Linked DNA regions of Diceros bicornis minor. The protein of the gene in region 2 interacts with the protein of the main gene of each other region in a biochemical or structural test. Links are inferred from orthologs where the notes say so. Each region holds a gene or a part of one and is shown on either strand. Other genes may lie near its edges. The genes, in order: RGS20 and GNAZ.

Region 1 (7,379 bases), on a different chromosome or scaffold from region 2:
TGTGGGACGCGGCCTCAGGATGGCCGGAGAAGCAGTGCGTCTGTGCGCGCCCGGGATCCGAACCCGGGCAGCCTGCATCGGAGCGCACGCACTTAACCGCTAAGCCACGGGGCCGGCCCTGGGTTGGTTCTAGTTTTTGGCTGTTATGAATAAAGCTGCTATGAACATTACCATATGCAGTGTGCGTGAACATAGGTTTTCATTTCTCTGGGATAAATGCCCAATAGTGAAATTGCTGGGCCATATGATAGTTGCATGTTTAGTTTTATAAGAAACTGCCAAATTGTTTCCAGACTGGCTGTACCATTTTGCATTCCTACCAGCAATGTATGAGTGATCTAGTTTCTCTACATCCTTGTCACCATTTTGTTTTGTCACTGTTTTTCACTTTAGCCATTCTGATAGGTGTGTAGTGATATTTCATCGTGGTTTTAATTTGCATTTCCCTAATGGCTAACGATGTTGACTATCTTTTCATGTGTTTGTTTGCCAGCTGTATGTGCTCTGTGATGAAATGTCTGTTCATGTCTTTTGCCCATATTTTTATTTGGATTGTTTGGCTTTTTACTCTTGACTTTTGAGAGTTCTTTATATATTCTAGATACAAAGCCTTTGTCAGATATGGGGTTTGCAAGTGTTTTTTCAAAGTCTGTATCTTGTCTTTTTATCCTCTTAAATAGGGTCTTTGGCAGAGCAAAAGTTTTTATTTTTGATGAGGCCCAATTTATCAATTTTTCCTTTAGGGATTATGCTTTTGATGTTTGAGAACTCTGCCTTGACTTACGTCGCAAAGATTTTCTATCATTTTTTTCTAGCAGTTTTATAGTTCTACATATTGTTGTACATTTAAGGCCATGATCCATTTTGGTTTAATATTTTATGTGGTGTTAGGCTTAGGTTGTGAGGATCTTGGAGGGTTGTAACACGGGCCTTGGATGTCTAGACACATTTTAGCCCATGTTCTCCCTGTCTACTTCTCTACATTCCTCCATTCCTATTTCATGTCTACCTTAAATTTCACCTCTTTCACATTTTCATTAGGCCTTTTTCAGTTGTTTTACTTCATATTGATTATATTCCATCCCTAGTTTCTTACTGCCTTACTGATTGAATTACATTGACATGAGTCATGCCAATAATATGATAATATGATATGATGATAATATGTTGATATGTTTGTCTTTCCCAATATATCGTGAGTCTGTAGAGAGAGAGGAGCATATCTTTCTCTTTCTCAAAATCTAGCTCAAGGCTTTGGGGATAGCAAGGACTCAAGGACATTTGTAGAATTAAAATGAACTGAGTTCTGCCATTCATATACTTGCTATAAGAGGGACATGTGCATCTATATTCAGATGCAATATAGGAAGATTTTTTAAAAAGGCAAAACTGAGTGGAGAGGCCAGTAGCATCCCAGCTGGATCTCTCCTGACTGCCCACGCCCGCTGCTGCACAGGCTGGAGCTGGTGTACTTGGGTTAATGAGGTCAGGATGGCAGCTTGGATCGCCTGGCGCCCGCAGTGCAGTTGATTCCAGGACGCTATGGAAAGGTACTGCTGATTCTTAAATACCTTTCCAATTCATTTGCCTATGGTTCTGCTTAAAGCATACCCTCAAGACAGTTTGACTTTGAAATTATACGTGTGTGTCCATATATTATACATATTTACACACACACACAACATATGTATATTGTTGTTGCTGTCTGTTTCCTCAGAGGAGCCTCCAAACTCTACCTTCTAGAAATCTCTTTTGCACGTGTCGCCTAGATTTAGATTCCCATTAATTAAGGACTTCTGGCCACGATATCCCATTTCATTCTAGTTTCCTAAAGACCTAGTGCTTAGGTGATAATAGGGAGTGTGGAAATTCATGTATTATTTGTTCACAGATCTCTGAAAGCTTAGAAACAAAGGTGAATACATTTCTACAGAAAAAGCTTCCTAATGACTTTTTTTAAAACTTTTTTTCTCCTATGCCAATTGATTAAAATAACATCAGGAAAGGGGCAGATCCAGAGAATTAAATAGAAAGTCTCCAAATAAATGATGATTATTATCAGGATATGAGCTGTGGCACAGGGACAGATGAATTTTCTAGTGTTTCAGCAGTTGGATGGGTTTGCTGTAGTATGATTTTGCAGCATTTAATTCTAAGCTCTGCTCATTATTTGTTAGACATTAACACATGCCTGTCCCCCTCCACACCAAATAACCTTTAAGAGATGGTTCTATTAATAGTTAAGAGGATTTACAGACTTAAACTGTACTTTCTGCAAAGATACACACAACACTGAGCAGGAAAATTGTCACTCTTTGGGAAAATAATATTATCTAGCGGTGGAAATTCATGCTTAGGAAATCTACCTTAGGAAACCATGAATTTAGGAAAAACACCCCTTGAGCTCAATGTTCTTATGTTTCTGTATTCATTTATCAATTTTTTTCTCTACCAATTTTTATAAAAAGCAGTCTATAATTTTTCTTTCATTATTATATGGGATATAATCTTTATATCAGAGAAAAACATTCAACGGTTACTAGCAATTGCCACAAAAATCTATGTCTAGGTCGTCTGCTTTTTAAAACACTACCCCCTGAAACAAACAAAAATAATTCAATAGTCATTTGTATTGGTAAAGAGAAGCTTTATAGGTTGGAGAAAGCTAGACAGATCAGGTAATTATCATCAAGGTTCTAGTTTTTCTCTTGGCGTTGGTTTGAAAACATTTTTGAGATATCGTCACTGAGATAAAGTGAGCAATGGCACTAAAGCTTGCTTATGGTTTATATTCGTTCTGCATAAGCCCTTTCCTTGTCAAGAAAGGATCATGGATTGTGGAGATTGTCTTACCTGGACATCATGCCCAGCCTTGGTCCCACCTTCATTTTCCATGGCTTGCTGAATGTTTGCATTATATCCCTCAGCCTGAGGCAGGGGCAGAAATTGCTTCCACATAGATGGCCTGGAGAAATGTTTCTGGAGGCACTCTTGGTTCTCTTGGGAAAGCTGGGGCATAATAAGGGCTCCGAATAAGTCCTGTGGCCTGATTTTAACACTGGCTCCGGGTCCACTCTATTTCTCTTCTTTTGGCTGATGCTGGGCCATCTCTCAGTCTGCTGAGGGCCTCCCTGGAAAGTTACACCAATGGAAGCAAAAGAATTATCTATTTTCTGGATCAGCAGCTTATCCGCAGATCCTTAGTGTTCTATTCCAGGTAGAGCCTCCTATTCTGATTGTCTGGGTGTATTATGACTGCCCTCTACAGGTAGAAATGTATTCCTAATTCTAATCCTAAATCAAAACTGAAAGAAATGATGTATTGTCTAGTCTATAATGATAAAGGAAATAGATTGTTCTGCAAAATTCTGTATTACTAGTTGTGTGATAGGGAATAGTGCTTGACAATCTTGGGCTATGCAATCAAGAGGCAGATGGTCCCCCTAATCTGTCTAGGTTTCTTAAGAGGTCACTTTAATAACAGTCAGCTTCATAGCTATAAACGTATGCTAAACTCGTACCCAAACTTAAGCCCAAGAATTATTACACTTTCTATTTATGCCACGTAGAGTGAATTAAAGTGATTTTCTTATGAGAAAATATTACAAATCTTATGCACGTAATAAATGACTTGTACCCGGAATATATGAAGAGCTCTTACAACTGAAAATGAAAAAAACCCAACTAAAAATGAGTGAGGTGTCTAAATAGGTATTTCTCCAAAGGAGATATACAAATGGCCAATAAACCCCTGGAAAGATGCTCAACATTGTTAGCCATTAGGGAAAGGCAAGTCAAAATCACAATGGGATACCACTTCACACCTGGTAGGTTGGCTTTACTCAAAAAGACAGTCAATAACATGTGTTAGTGAGTATGTGGAGAAATTGGGACTCTCATACAAAGCTGGTGGGAATGTAAAATGTGGCAACCAGTTTGGAAAACAGTTTGGCAGTTCCTTAGAATGTTTAACATAGAGTTACCACATGATCCAGCAATTCCCTCTTAGATATCTACCAAAGCAAGAGAAGTGAAACACGTGAGCACAAAAAGACTTGCACACAAATGTCCAATAATTGGAAAAAACCCACATTCCCATCAAACGGTGAATAGATAGACAAAGGGAGGTATGTCCATCCAATGGAATACTATTCAGCAATAAAATGGAATGAAATTCTGACATATGCTACCACATGGATGAACCTTGAAAACTCTATGCTAAGTGAGAGAAGCCAGGCACAAAAGTCCACAAAAGTTGACACTTGAGTCGACAAAAGTCGAACTCACTCAAGGCTCACTTACATAGTTGTTGCCAGGATTGAAAAGCTATTGGACTAAGGATGTCAATTCCTTGCTGGTTGTTGACTGGAGGCAGCCCTCAGCTCCTGCCATGTTGGCCTCTCCTTGGAGCAGCTCACAACTTGGCAGCCTGCTTCATCACAGTGAACAAGTGAGAGAACCTGAGAGAATGCAAGCAAGACAGAAGTCACAGTCTTTTGTAACCTGATCTCGGAAGTGACATCCCTTTTGCCGTATTCTGTTCCTTAGAAGAAAGTCAGTAGGTCTAGCCCACATTCAAGGAGAGAGGATTTGGTAAGGGCATGAATTATTGGCAGGTGGGGATCATTAAGAGCCATTTTAGAAGCTGTCTACTACAGTGGCCATATTTTTAAATTTTCAGATTGTGGGAGATTGTCCTTATGGCACCAATGGTGCAGTGTAATACAATGAACTTACCTGGAAAATCCTGAAGCTTGGTTGCCATAAGAACTTAGGGCACTGGTACAGTGCGTGAGTGAAATCTTGTGTGATTGCTGTTAGACCTGCTTTGGCAATACCAGTGCAGTCAGAAGCTGTTAGGATAGTTGGTTAGAGTACTTTGTAAAAGCATCATGGTGTCAATACTTAGAGTTACTGTTAGGCCAAAGTAGGTCAGTTTCTTGCAAAAGCCTATTGTATGAAAGAGAATGGAAAAACTGTTCTTTCATTAAACTAATAATTTATTCAATGAGCTGCAAAAGCTTCTTAAAGTCCTTGTACAACTGAAGGTAGGCTGGTAGCATAATCTTCACTAGGAGGCAGTATGTTTTTCATGATAAATCATCTTTTTAGAATAGGATTTCCTTTGACTAGAACTCCTCTATTTCTATGGGCAAATGTAAGTTCAATTCACAGTTGGGAAGAAAATATTGGAAATGATGATGTTTGTAACATTTCATATATTTCAAACTTAAGAAATTCCTTTGAAATTTCATAATTTTTCCACCTCTGATCACTTCTAGGTGGTATATTTTCTCCAAACATATAATATGACCCTATTCTAGTGAAAAAATTGTTAAAGATATGGGCTATTGACTTAATTTGATGAATACATTAATTATTACTATTATTTTTCTCCTGTCAATACAGTTTTATCTTATTTCCCTTATGTCATTTGTAAGTAGTAAATCTGGAGCTCAATTATGAAGAAATTACGAAACAGCTCAGAGGATACCTTGCATATGCTATAACATGTAATTATGCCAGCTGAGGTCACCGATAGACGTGTTGAAGAGATCAGGTAAGGGAAACAGCAGCAGGGACCACCTGCCTCTTCTCTTCTCCCTAGTTCCAGATAGATATCTGGTAACACCATGATGCTTGAAGAAAGCCATCCCAGCTGACCGGTGTAGCAGCCCGTTCTGCTCACTGCCTTGTTCCTGATTTTGTTCCACACCCCTCTGAAAAGAGGAGTTCTTTCTGGAACCTGATGAGACCTGCCGCATAATGACAGGTCTGCGGCTGGGGAGGTACAGGCAAGATGATGTGCAGAGCAGACCTGATCACCAGCTTTGCTTGGTTATGCAGAGAAACATGCTCTGCATTTTACTTCTCATGAAGTAAACTATTTCATGTTAAAAATGACAACATTTTCAAGTGGGTTAAGAGTAGAAAGAAGGAAAGGGACTCATTCAGAATCTAAGAATCAATCTTTCTCCCTTTTGCCTGGAATGCCCTTTGCCTGTTTCCTAATGTGCCTGCCTTGCTTAGGACTAGTGCAAGTGTCAGTCCTTAAATGGAGCCCCCTGACCTCCCCCTTCTCTCAGTGAGCAGCAGTATCAGCTTCCTCTTCCAGGTGCACAGAGTAGTTCTAGATGCATCCCTGCTACTGCGCTTGCTGAAATTATCTGACTATATCTGTGCTCCTCAACTTGACTCTGAACAACTCCAAAGAAACCTCAAAGAAAATTGGAGAGACTGTCAAACTTCGGATACTCAATAAATGTGTCTCCAACTGAATGAGAAAGAGAGGGATTAAGTATGCTTGCTCTCGCATTTTGTACCTGTTCACAGGAGTTTTAGTCTCTCTCTGTTGTCAATGATGTTTATTCATACTTTGTTCTGGTGGTGTGATTAAGTGGCTTCATTTATATTGTGTAATAGTCTGCTCGGGCTGCCGTAACAAAATACCATAGACTGTGTGGGTTAACCAACAGAAATTTATTTTCTCACAGTCCTGGAGGCTAACAGTCTGAGGACGGGGTGCCAGCATGGTCAGGTTCTGGTGAGAGCTCTCTTCCCGGCTTGCAGACAGCCACCTTCTTGCTGTATTCTTGCATGGCTTTTCCTCAGTGCTTGTGCATGTTGAGAGAGAGGGCTCCCTCTCTGGTGTCTCTTCTTACAAGGGCACTAATCCTGAGGGCCCACCCTCATGACCTCATCTAACCCTAATTACCTTCTAAAGGCCCAATTTCCAACTACCATCACACTTGGGTTTAGGGCTTCAATACATGTATTTTGAGAGCAACACAAACATTCAGATCATAGTGTTAAAAGATAAACTGAGGCACATTAAAAATTTCAAGAGTTTATTTGAGCAAACATCAATTTGAATTGGACAGCACCAAACTGAAAGTGCTCCATTAACAGGAGCTCAGGAAAAAGCTTTTATAGAGCTGATGTGGAAGCAAAGCAAGGAAATTATTTGATTGGCTATAGCTTAAGCAGTTACCTAATTTGGGAAAGGTTAGTTGGCTGTTTGTGATTGTTTTAGTTTCATTTTCTAGGATATAAGTGCATTTCAGGAATTGACCCTGGGTTACATAGGCGACCAAGGCATTAGAGCCATCTCAGTTTAATGGCCTCCTTAATGACTTTAACAATTTCCCCATTTGGCCATCCTCTCACACATGAGCGATTGACCAAAAATTTGGCACTAGTGCCACTCTCAGTCACCATCAGGGTTACGTTGTTCTTGTCTCACTGTGAAACTCACAGGTCATGATGTCAGGTTTGTGGAAGGTTTCTTCTGTTCATCTCGTTGTTCACCTTGTTCTGTTTCTCTGAGCTCAGTGAGACCATCTGATGGCTATGAACACACATTTAAGACTCTTGACACA
Region 2 (7,205 bases):
AAAGCCCAGGGAGAGGGCTGCCACTGGAGCCACAGAGGCACAGGCTGCGGGAGAGCGGACAGAGGGAGTCAAGTCAGAAAAGTCCAAGTGTTGGAGGTGATGGCCTCCACTGCTCTCCCCCTTGAAAAGGATACGGCTACTCAAGTGCCCAAGGCCACACAGCAGACGGGCGCAATGCCAGGGCCCTCAGCTCCCCAGGTTCTGTTTGCAAGGCATTTGTCTTGGGCCTCTGCTCCTAGAAATGCTGAGCACCAGGACATGGGTTCATTTTGAGACAGAGGGAGAGAATTAAAAATAAAACGCGTGCCGGGTGTGCCTCTCTGCTCGTTCATTTTGCTTCTTTTCAGCTAAAAGGAGATTTGCAGGCCCGGCTATTTATAACTAACCCAGATCTGAATGGCTTGTTCAAGTGGGGGGCAATGGGGGCAGTGCGCACAGACCCCAAGGAAACAAACCAGAGAAACCCACAGCCCGGCCACAGCCTGAGAATCGGTCGGTAGGGGTTGGGTTGAGGGAGCGGGAGAGGTGGCGCACAGAGGAGAGTCAGCCAGGAGCGAACCCTTCCAGAGGTCCAGAGATGAGCGAGACACCACCACCCCCACCCTGGGGGAGTGAAGAGACAAGTGGGAGGGTCAGTGGGGACTGGTCATTCCAGCACAGGTTGACATGTGTAGATGAGGAATTCCAGGGTCCTTGGGGCTCCGGATGTGCAAGAAGGGAGGCCCAGGGGAGCTGGTCCGCATGGGGCAGAGGGGCAGAGGCATGAGGCACGGGGATGTTTGGGGAGGGCCCTCAATCCAGTGATCCAGCGTGGCTGGTGTGCCAGGATGAGTTGGATGATGAGCCAGGAAGCTCTGCTGGATTTGAGGGGTGACGATGCCCATGGCATGGAATGCCCTGTGGCTGAGGTTTGGTCATTTGCTGGGGGTGGGGTCAACACTACCCCAAGGGGCCACTCCTTGGCCAGCTGTCTCTGCTGGGTTGGTGAGGTGCCAGGTGAGTTCAATCAGCAGGGCCCCTTCCTCTTTCTACCACAGACCCCCAGCTCTTGTCTCCCGGCCCTGTTCTCCTGGCCAGTAAGGGCGGAGGACAGAGCACTGGCCCCAGCCCTGGGGACTACGTACCCACGCCGGGCGCCCTGGGCCCACTGCACCTTATTGTGACCCACCTGTTCAGCTTTAGCCTCGTGTGGTCCCCATGCCCTGAATTCCTGGCACACTGACCCCTCCCCCGTGCCTGCCTTTGCTCCAGGGGACACTTCTCTGTCCTCATCTTACTCGGCCTCCCAATAGTGCGTGACATGGCTGACTGTGTCTTCCTTCTAGAGACACTCTCTTCCCGTGGCTCTGGAACCCTCCACTCCCTGGTTTCCTGGTCACCTCTCCAACCGCTCCTCCATCTGCTTAGCAAGTGCCATCCCTTCCTCCAGTGTCTCCTCTCACGTGGGCCCCCTCCTTGGTCCCCACTCTTCCCCCTTTGCCAGGGCCAGCCCAGTGCCACCCAGCCGTCTCCTGACACACACGGTTGCCCGGTGATCCCACGGCCCTATGCTGAACTCGGCCTCATGGACCGCCTTCTCTGCTGGCTCCTTTTCTCTGGCTGACTAGTTGACGTTTTTGTTATTTGATTCTGCATACTAGGACACCGCACTGTGGGACCATGCCAACAGAAATATGAAACGACTTGCCGTCCTTCTCAAGTGTAAAAACCTAATCTTAAACTCTCCAGTGGTTCTTAGGCCAACGTCCCCAGTACTACACGAGGGCCAGCTGCCCGAGGTGACTGTTCGCAGCCCCACCTCAGCATCGCGTTTTGTCCTCCTCGCCTGCTCGCTGGCTCAAGCCATGCTGGTCTTCTCTGGGTTCTTCCAGGCCTCATGCTCCTTCACGTCCAGCGCCTTCCCCACCTTGGAATGCGCTTCTCTCCTGCCTCAAGTCATGGGCCACCTCCTTCCCGCTGTCCCAGTGCCCAGTTCTCCCCCTGCCACGTACCCCAGAGTCCTGGCCAGTCTCCTCCATCAGGGCTCACACAACTGTAATGGTGGAATATTGGCCTGCCGTCTGCCCTGCCCCTCAGACAGGAGGGTCTAGCAGGCAGGGTTGAGTCTGTCTAAATCCTAGCACTGTGCCCAGCACAGAGAAGGCCGTCAGTAAATGATTGTTGTGTGAAGGACTACAACCAATGGTTGACGCCAGGTGACCTGTCACTTTAAGGTGGCCACCAAGGTCTGGTAAGGGGGCAGCAGCCAGCCCCATTGGGCCCCTCCATGAGCTAGCCTCTGATCTCACACCTGGACTGCTGTAGGGGTCAGCCCATGTTTGCACCTATTTTGCCCCTGCAAACAGCTCAATTCTGACCCCTAGTCCTGCAGCAGGAACTGCCCTCGCCCGTCTCTGAACGTGTGTCAAGGTGCATTTCCACTCAGAATCACCCTCGAGGGACAGTCTATTATCATCCCCTTTTGACAGAAGAGGAAACTGAGGCTCAGCCAGGTGAAATAAGTCACCCAAGCGTATACAGGTGATGGCAGCAGAGCTGGGCCTGTGCTTCACCCCCAGCCACCTCTCGCCTCTGACCCACCGCAGGGCAGGGCCTGTGCTCCTCATCTTCCTGGTATCACAGCTGTTGCCTCTGTGTGGTCCTCCCGGCAGACATCCAGCCTAACCCAGCCTGGTGGCTTGGAGGGCATTTACACCGGGGAGCCCCTCAACTGTTGGCCACTTCCAGAGAGCACTGTACCAGGTCTAAGTCTAGGCTCACCTCAAGATGCCCATCCCCAGCATCCTTCCTGTCCCTGACAGTTTAGGCAGCACCTTCCCAGGTGGGGGGTATGTAGCACAGTGGCCTCCATTTCACAGCAGAGGAAACATTCCCAGAGAGGTTATGGGATGACGACATGTCACAGCGTCCAGCTGGCAGAGCCGGACCCCCGCTCCTGCCTTGTGACCACAGATCTGAGCTGGGGCCACCACTCCATCTACCTCTGCCAATGGACAGTTCCAGTGCTTCTGCCCACGAGTGGAGTGATCCTTGTAACAGGACCACGACGGTGTAAAGTGATAAGGAAGGTGTGGGCCAGGAACACCTGTATTTTGCTGGGATGCTCCAGGATGCACAACGCTTCAGGTTACAACCATGCAAAAGACAGCGAGTGGCATTAATGTCTGGCTCTCTGGACTGACTCCTTTAAGTATAGGAGTGAGCGGCTAGTGGCTCTGAGGCCCACAGGTGGGCTCCCCCTGAAACTGAAAGCAGAATTTGCCAGACTGCCCTCAGGTGCCTTTTGCTGAGCATCCGATGCCTTCTATGAGCTTCCCCAAGGCACCTATGGGATCCTGGCCTTAACCGAGCTGGCTCCCTCCCGCCTCTCTGGTCTGGGTGACAGCCCCCGGGCCCTTCTCCCTCCCCTCCTTCCAAGGCAAACATCCGTGGCCAGGATTGCCAGGGACTCTGAAGAGCCCCTACAGGCTGGGGCTTGAGCAACGAAGATGATTAACGTCCCCTCCCATCACCGCACAAACCTCACCGGTGTAAACCTTTAGAGGTTGCATAGCCCTTTCACACGTTCTAGTGGATTGTCGCGACAATTCAGGGAAGCAGGTGCCACCAGCCCCACTTTGCAAAACAGGCTCAGAGAGGTCAGTCGGTTGCCCAAGGTCGCGGAGTTCAGAAACAGCCGAGCTGGGTTCGAATTCGGACGGGGACAGGGGCAAGCAGGGGCCGGGGCATCCGCCGATCTCAGGCTCGGTCTCCCAGCCTGCAAAAGGCGGTCTCGCAGGGCCGGCACCCTGGCCGGGGCGCAGCCGGGTTCCGGGGACGCCGGCGCGGGCAGCGCGCGCGGGACTGCGGTGAGAGCGGAGCCGCGGCCCCGCCCCTGCCCGTCGCTATTGGACGCGGGCGCGTCCGTCAGCCACTCGTGCCCAATGGGCGGCGAGCCGGCGCTCGTGGCGGGGCGGTGGCGCCCGGCGCGTGGTCACCGGCAGGCGCGCGGCACCCCCGCCCGCGGTTGGCCTGGCAACGCGCTGCGCTCGCGGCTCCGCCCCCTGCCGGCGGCCGCGCGGCGCGGGGCGGGCGGACCCGCGGGCGGGCGGCGGGCGACGCGGGAGAGCGGGCGGAGGCAGGCCGGCCGGAGCGTGTGCGCCGCCCGCGGTCCGGTCACGTCCCCGCGCGGGCGCCGCCGCCCGCGTCGTGCGGAACGAGGGCTCCTGGGCCCGCGCCCGCCGCCTCGCCCCTCCCGCCTGGAGCAGCTCGGCCGGAGCACCGCGCCGCGGCCCGGAGGTGAGTGAGCGGACCTGCGGCCAGGGCGCGCGGCCGAGCCTCCGGGGACCCGGGGCGCGGGCGGGGCGCCCACCCCACCCCCACCGGGCCCCGCCCGGGCCTTTGTGCCAGGGATCCGCCCGGGCTCAGCGGCAGCGATGCCTGGCCGGGGTGGGGGCGGTGAGGGCAGGCACGCCCGCGAGGTGGGCAGGGGGCGGCCGCGGCCCGGCAGGTGCTGGCGGGGGGCGCCGCCGGGCGGAGGAGTCGGCGGGAGGGGGCGGCCGCAGGCCGGGAGGGTGGGCAGGGGCCAGAGGAGCTGCTGGTGCGGAGCCGGGCCGGGCCGGGCCGGGCGAGCTGCGGGAGGGCCCCGAGGCGGGGTCTCCCTCCCGGGGGAGCGGGAAGGAGGCGACCTGGACAGCGGGGGCGCCGACGCGGGGCTTTGGCTAAAACGGAGGCGAGGGCTCCGGAGGCTTGGGCCCGTAGACGGACGGCTCGCAGTTTTCGGTCATCGCTCTTGCAGCGAGCAGGTTCCTTGGAGGCATTTAGAACAAGAGATGAGTATCGACCCGCTGCGATTGTGATATGTTCCCGGCTCAATATTTTTTTTCCCTTAAAAGGCGGTGGGGGAGGTTGGGGGGAGGGGTGTGAGGGCCTCGGGGCCGGGGCTCCGTATCCTGCGGGAGATCCGAGGGGGCTCTGCCGTCAGGGCGGTGCTGAGCCTCTCTGGGCGATGACGGCAGGAATCCGCCTAGGCCCCGAATTGGGGTGCTCTGCTACCAGAGAGAAGAGGATGGAAGGCGGTGCCGACACAGGGCTCCCTGGAGTCCAGCGTCTTAGCATGGAGGGACCCGCCTGGTAGGCGAGCTCTGCCCGGCTTAGGGAGGCAGCCAAGTGATTTCCCTGCCCTGGGGACCGAGTCCCGCTGCCTTCCGCTCTGTCTGGAGGAGGCTCCTGGGCCAAATTCGATTAAGCAAATATTTACTGAGCGCTCGCTCCCCCAGGGCCTGGCGCTGGGGTGGGAGTGGACTGGGCCTGCCCTCTGGGGACTGAGTCACCACCCTCCAGGGGAGAAACCTCTGCTCAGATAACCAAACCCTGAGTGTGGGTGCAGGGGCCTCGGGAGGGACCTCAGAGAGGTGACCTGGGCTGGGGCCTGTGGGCAAAGTGGCATTTGAACTGGAGCTTGAAGGACACGGGCACAGTTGGGGTGGGCGTTGCGGGCAGAGGGGAGAAAATGGAGTGAGGCACAGAGAGGGCACTAGGGCAGTTGGGTCTGGCAGGAGCGTGGGGTCTACTTAAGAGCATAGGAGGCATGGCGGGAAAGGTGGGTGGGTGCGGCAGAGGATGAGGGAGCTGGGGAAACCAAACCACCCATTTTTTGTTAGCTGTGGCTGTTTCACTAGAGGCTGCAATCTCCTCATCTGTAAAAGGGAGCAGCTCTGTGACCTGGGGTGGGCCTGGGGAAGAGCTTCAGAGACCTGGGAGGGCTCCTTGCAGCCTAGGACTGCTCCTCCAGGTAGTCCCTGGGGACAGGGCCAGGGGTACTGGGTAACCAACCACCCAGCCTCCTTCCTAGCCAGGATGGAGGACGATGTTTAGCTGATGACTCTGTCCCTTGGTGGGGTGGACGTTTTCCAGCAGTAACCGTGGAGGCCTGGGAGTCTCCGTGTGGGGGCTGATGGTGCGAGGGCCTGGCTGCGTGTGGATGAAGTGCTGTGCCTCCAGCGTTCCTCGTGCTCCAGGGACGGTGAGACATTGGCGTTTGGTTTAACACTCGTCTTGTGTGTTCCTCGCACAGACGTTGATTTTCTGAGACAGGAGGTGAATAAGCCGGTGTCACCTTCTACTCTAGATGTGCTTGCTTGCTTGCTCCTGGGGATGTTTTTGAAGGGGCTGTTTGTTACTCATCTGTGTGGCATGCCCCCTCCCTGCCCCGTCCCCGAACACACACCCACTTTCGGCTTCTGGCTGAGGCCCAGGTTGCTGCAGCGAGAGCAGGGCCGCCCGCCTGCCCTCATGGGGGTGCAGTCCACGCCGAGCAGGATGGAGCTGCTTCACTCTTGTGCTTGTCGCCTGGCCCTGCTCCAGGGGCCTGCCGTGGGGCTCTAGATTTGGGACACAGGGGATGAATTCCTCCTTCTGACCCCAGCTTCTCAGCTCTTCTGTTTCCTGGAGTCCTAGGAGGAAAAGTGCATTGGTCTGGCCCTCAGGAGCTTCTAGGGCGATTCCAGGAACTTTTGGCTAACCAGGCAGACTTGGCAAGGCTGCCCAGGGCCCCTGCAGAGAGGCTGGTGGGATGGATGGCTTCAGACTCAGGGTGTGGCCTCCGTGGCCTCGACCTAGCCAAGTGGTTGTCTCACGTGCACACACGATGACAGTGTGTGCCACGCCTTCCTTCCAAGGACATGAGGACGAGGCAGCCCTGGACTATCCCCTGCTATCCGTCAGAAGACCTGAAGGCTTTGCGGCTCTAGGGCATTCTCGCTGCCGCTGACTGTGGCTGGGCTTGCAGGAACTCTGGAAGAGGCAGATTAGCACACTGCTCCCCTGCAGCCCCCAGGAAGGAAACCTGGGGTCACAGAGCCTCCAGGGCCGGGTTGCAAGCGCTGTTGGCAGGAAGGAGGGCAGAGGGAATGGACAGAGGCAGCAGGGCAGACACGGAGGATCAGCCCAGGCAGGAGCCCAGAGCGGTGGCTGACATAGCTCCTGCAGACTGGGGAGGGGTGTGGAGGGCCCAGACTCCCCACGGAGGAGAGGGGAGAGCTCCAGTCCAGGCATCAGAAGACTTGGGTCAGGCCCAGGCCCTGCCACTCCCTGGCCCAGCCCCGTCCTCTCTGGGCCTCCTCGTCCTCATCCGTAAACAGAGCCAAGACTGCCCTGCCTGGTCCGCTTGTGGGTCCTCACCACACATTTGGCCCCGTCCACATATCCATGCTGGTGGGGGAGGC

The links.
Region 1: the proteins of GNAZ (region 2) and RGS20 form a complex in vitro, tested with the Homo sapiens proteins (2 studies listed by BioGRID, with this or other methods). The link is inferred for Diceros bicornis minor from reciprocal best matches to the Homo sapiens genes GNAZ and RGS20.

Annotation. Positions count from the first base shown.
Region 1 is NC_080772.1:7,745,711-7,753,089, reverse strand, and holds the start of RGS20 (regulator of G-protein signaling 20), read right to left. Parts: upstream 3,019-7,379; coding exon 2,860-3,018; coding exon of another isoform or gene 2,854-2,859; intron 1-2,853. UniProt on the Homo sapiens protein: Inhibits signal transduction by increasing the GTPase activity of G protein alpha subunits thereby driving them into their inactive GDP-bound form.
Region 2 is NC_080774.1:29,399,263-29,406,467, reverse strand, and holds the start of GNAZ (guanine nucleotide-binding protein G(z) subunit alpha), read left to right. Parts: upstream 1-4,121; 5' UTR 4,122-4,278; intron 4,279-7,205. Other genes in the region: RSPH14 (radial spoke head 14 homolog), read right to left, coding at 3,527-3,551. UniProt on the Homo sapiens protein: Guanine nucleotide-binding proteins (G proteins) are involved as modulators or transducers in various transmembrane signaling systems.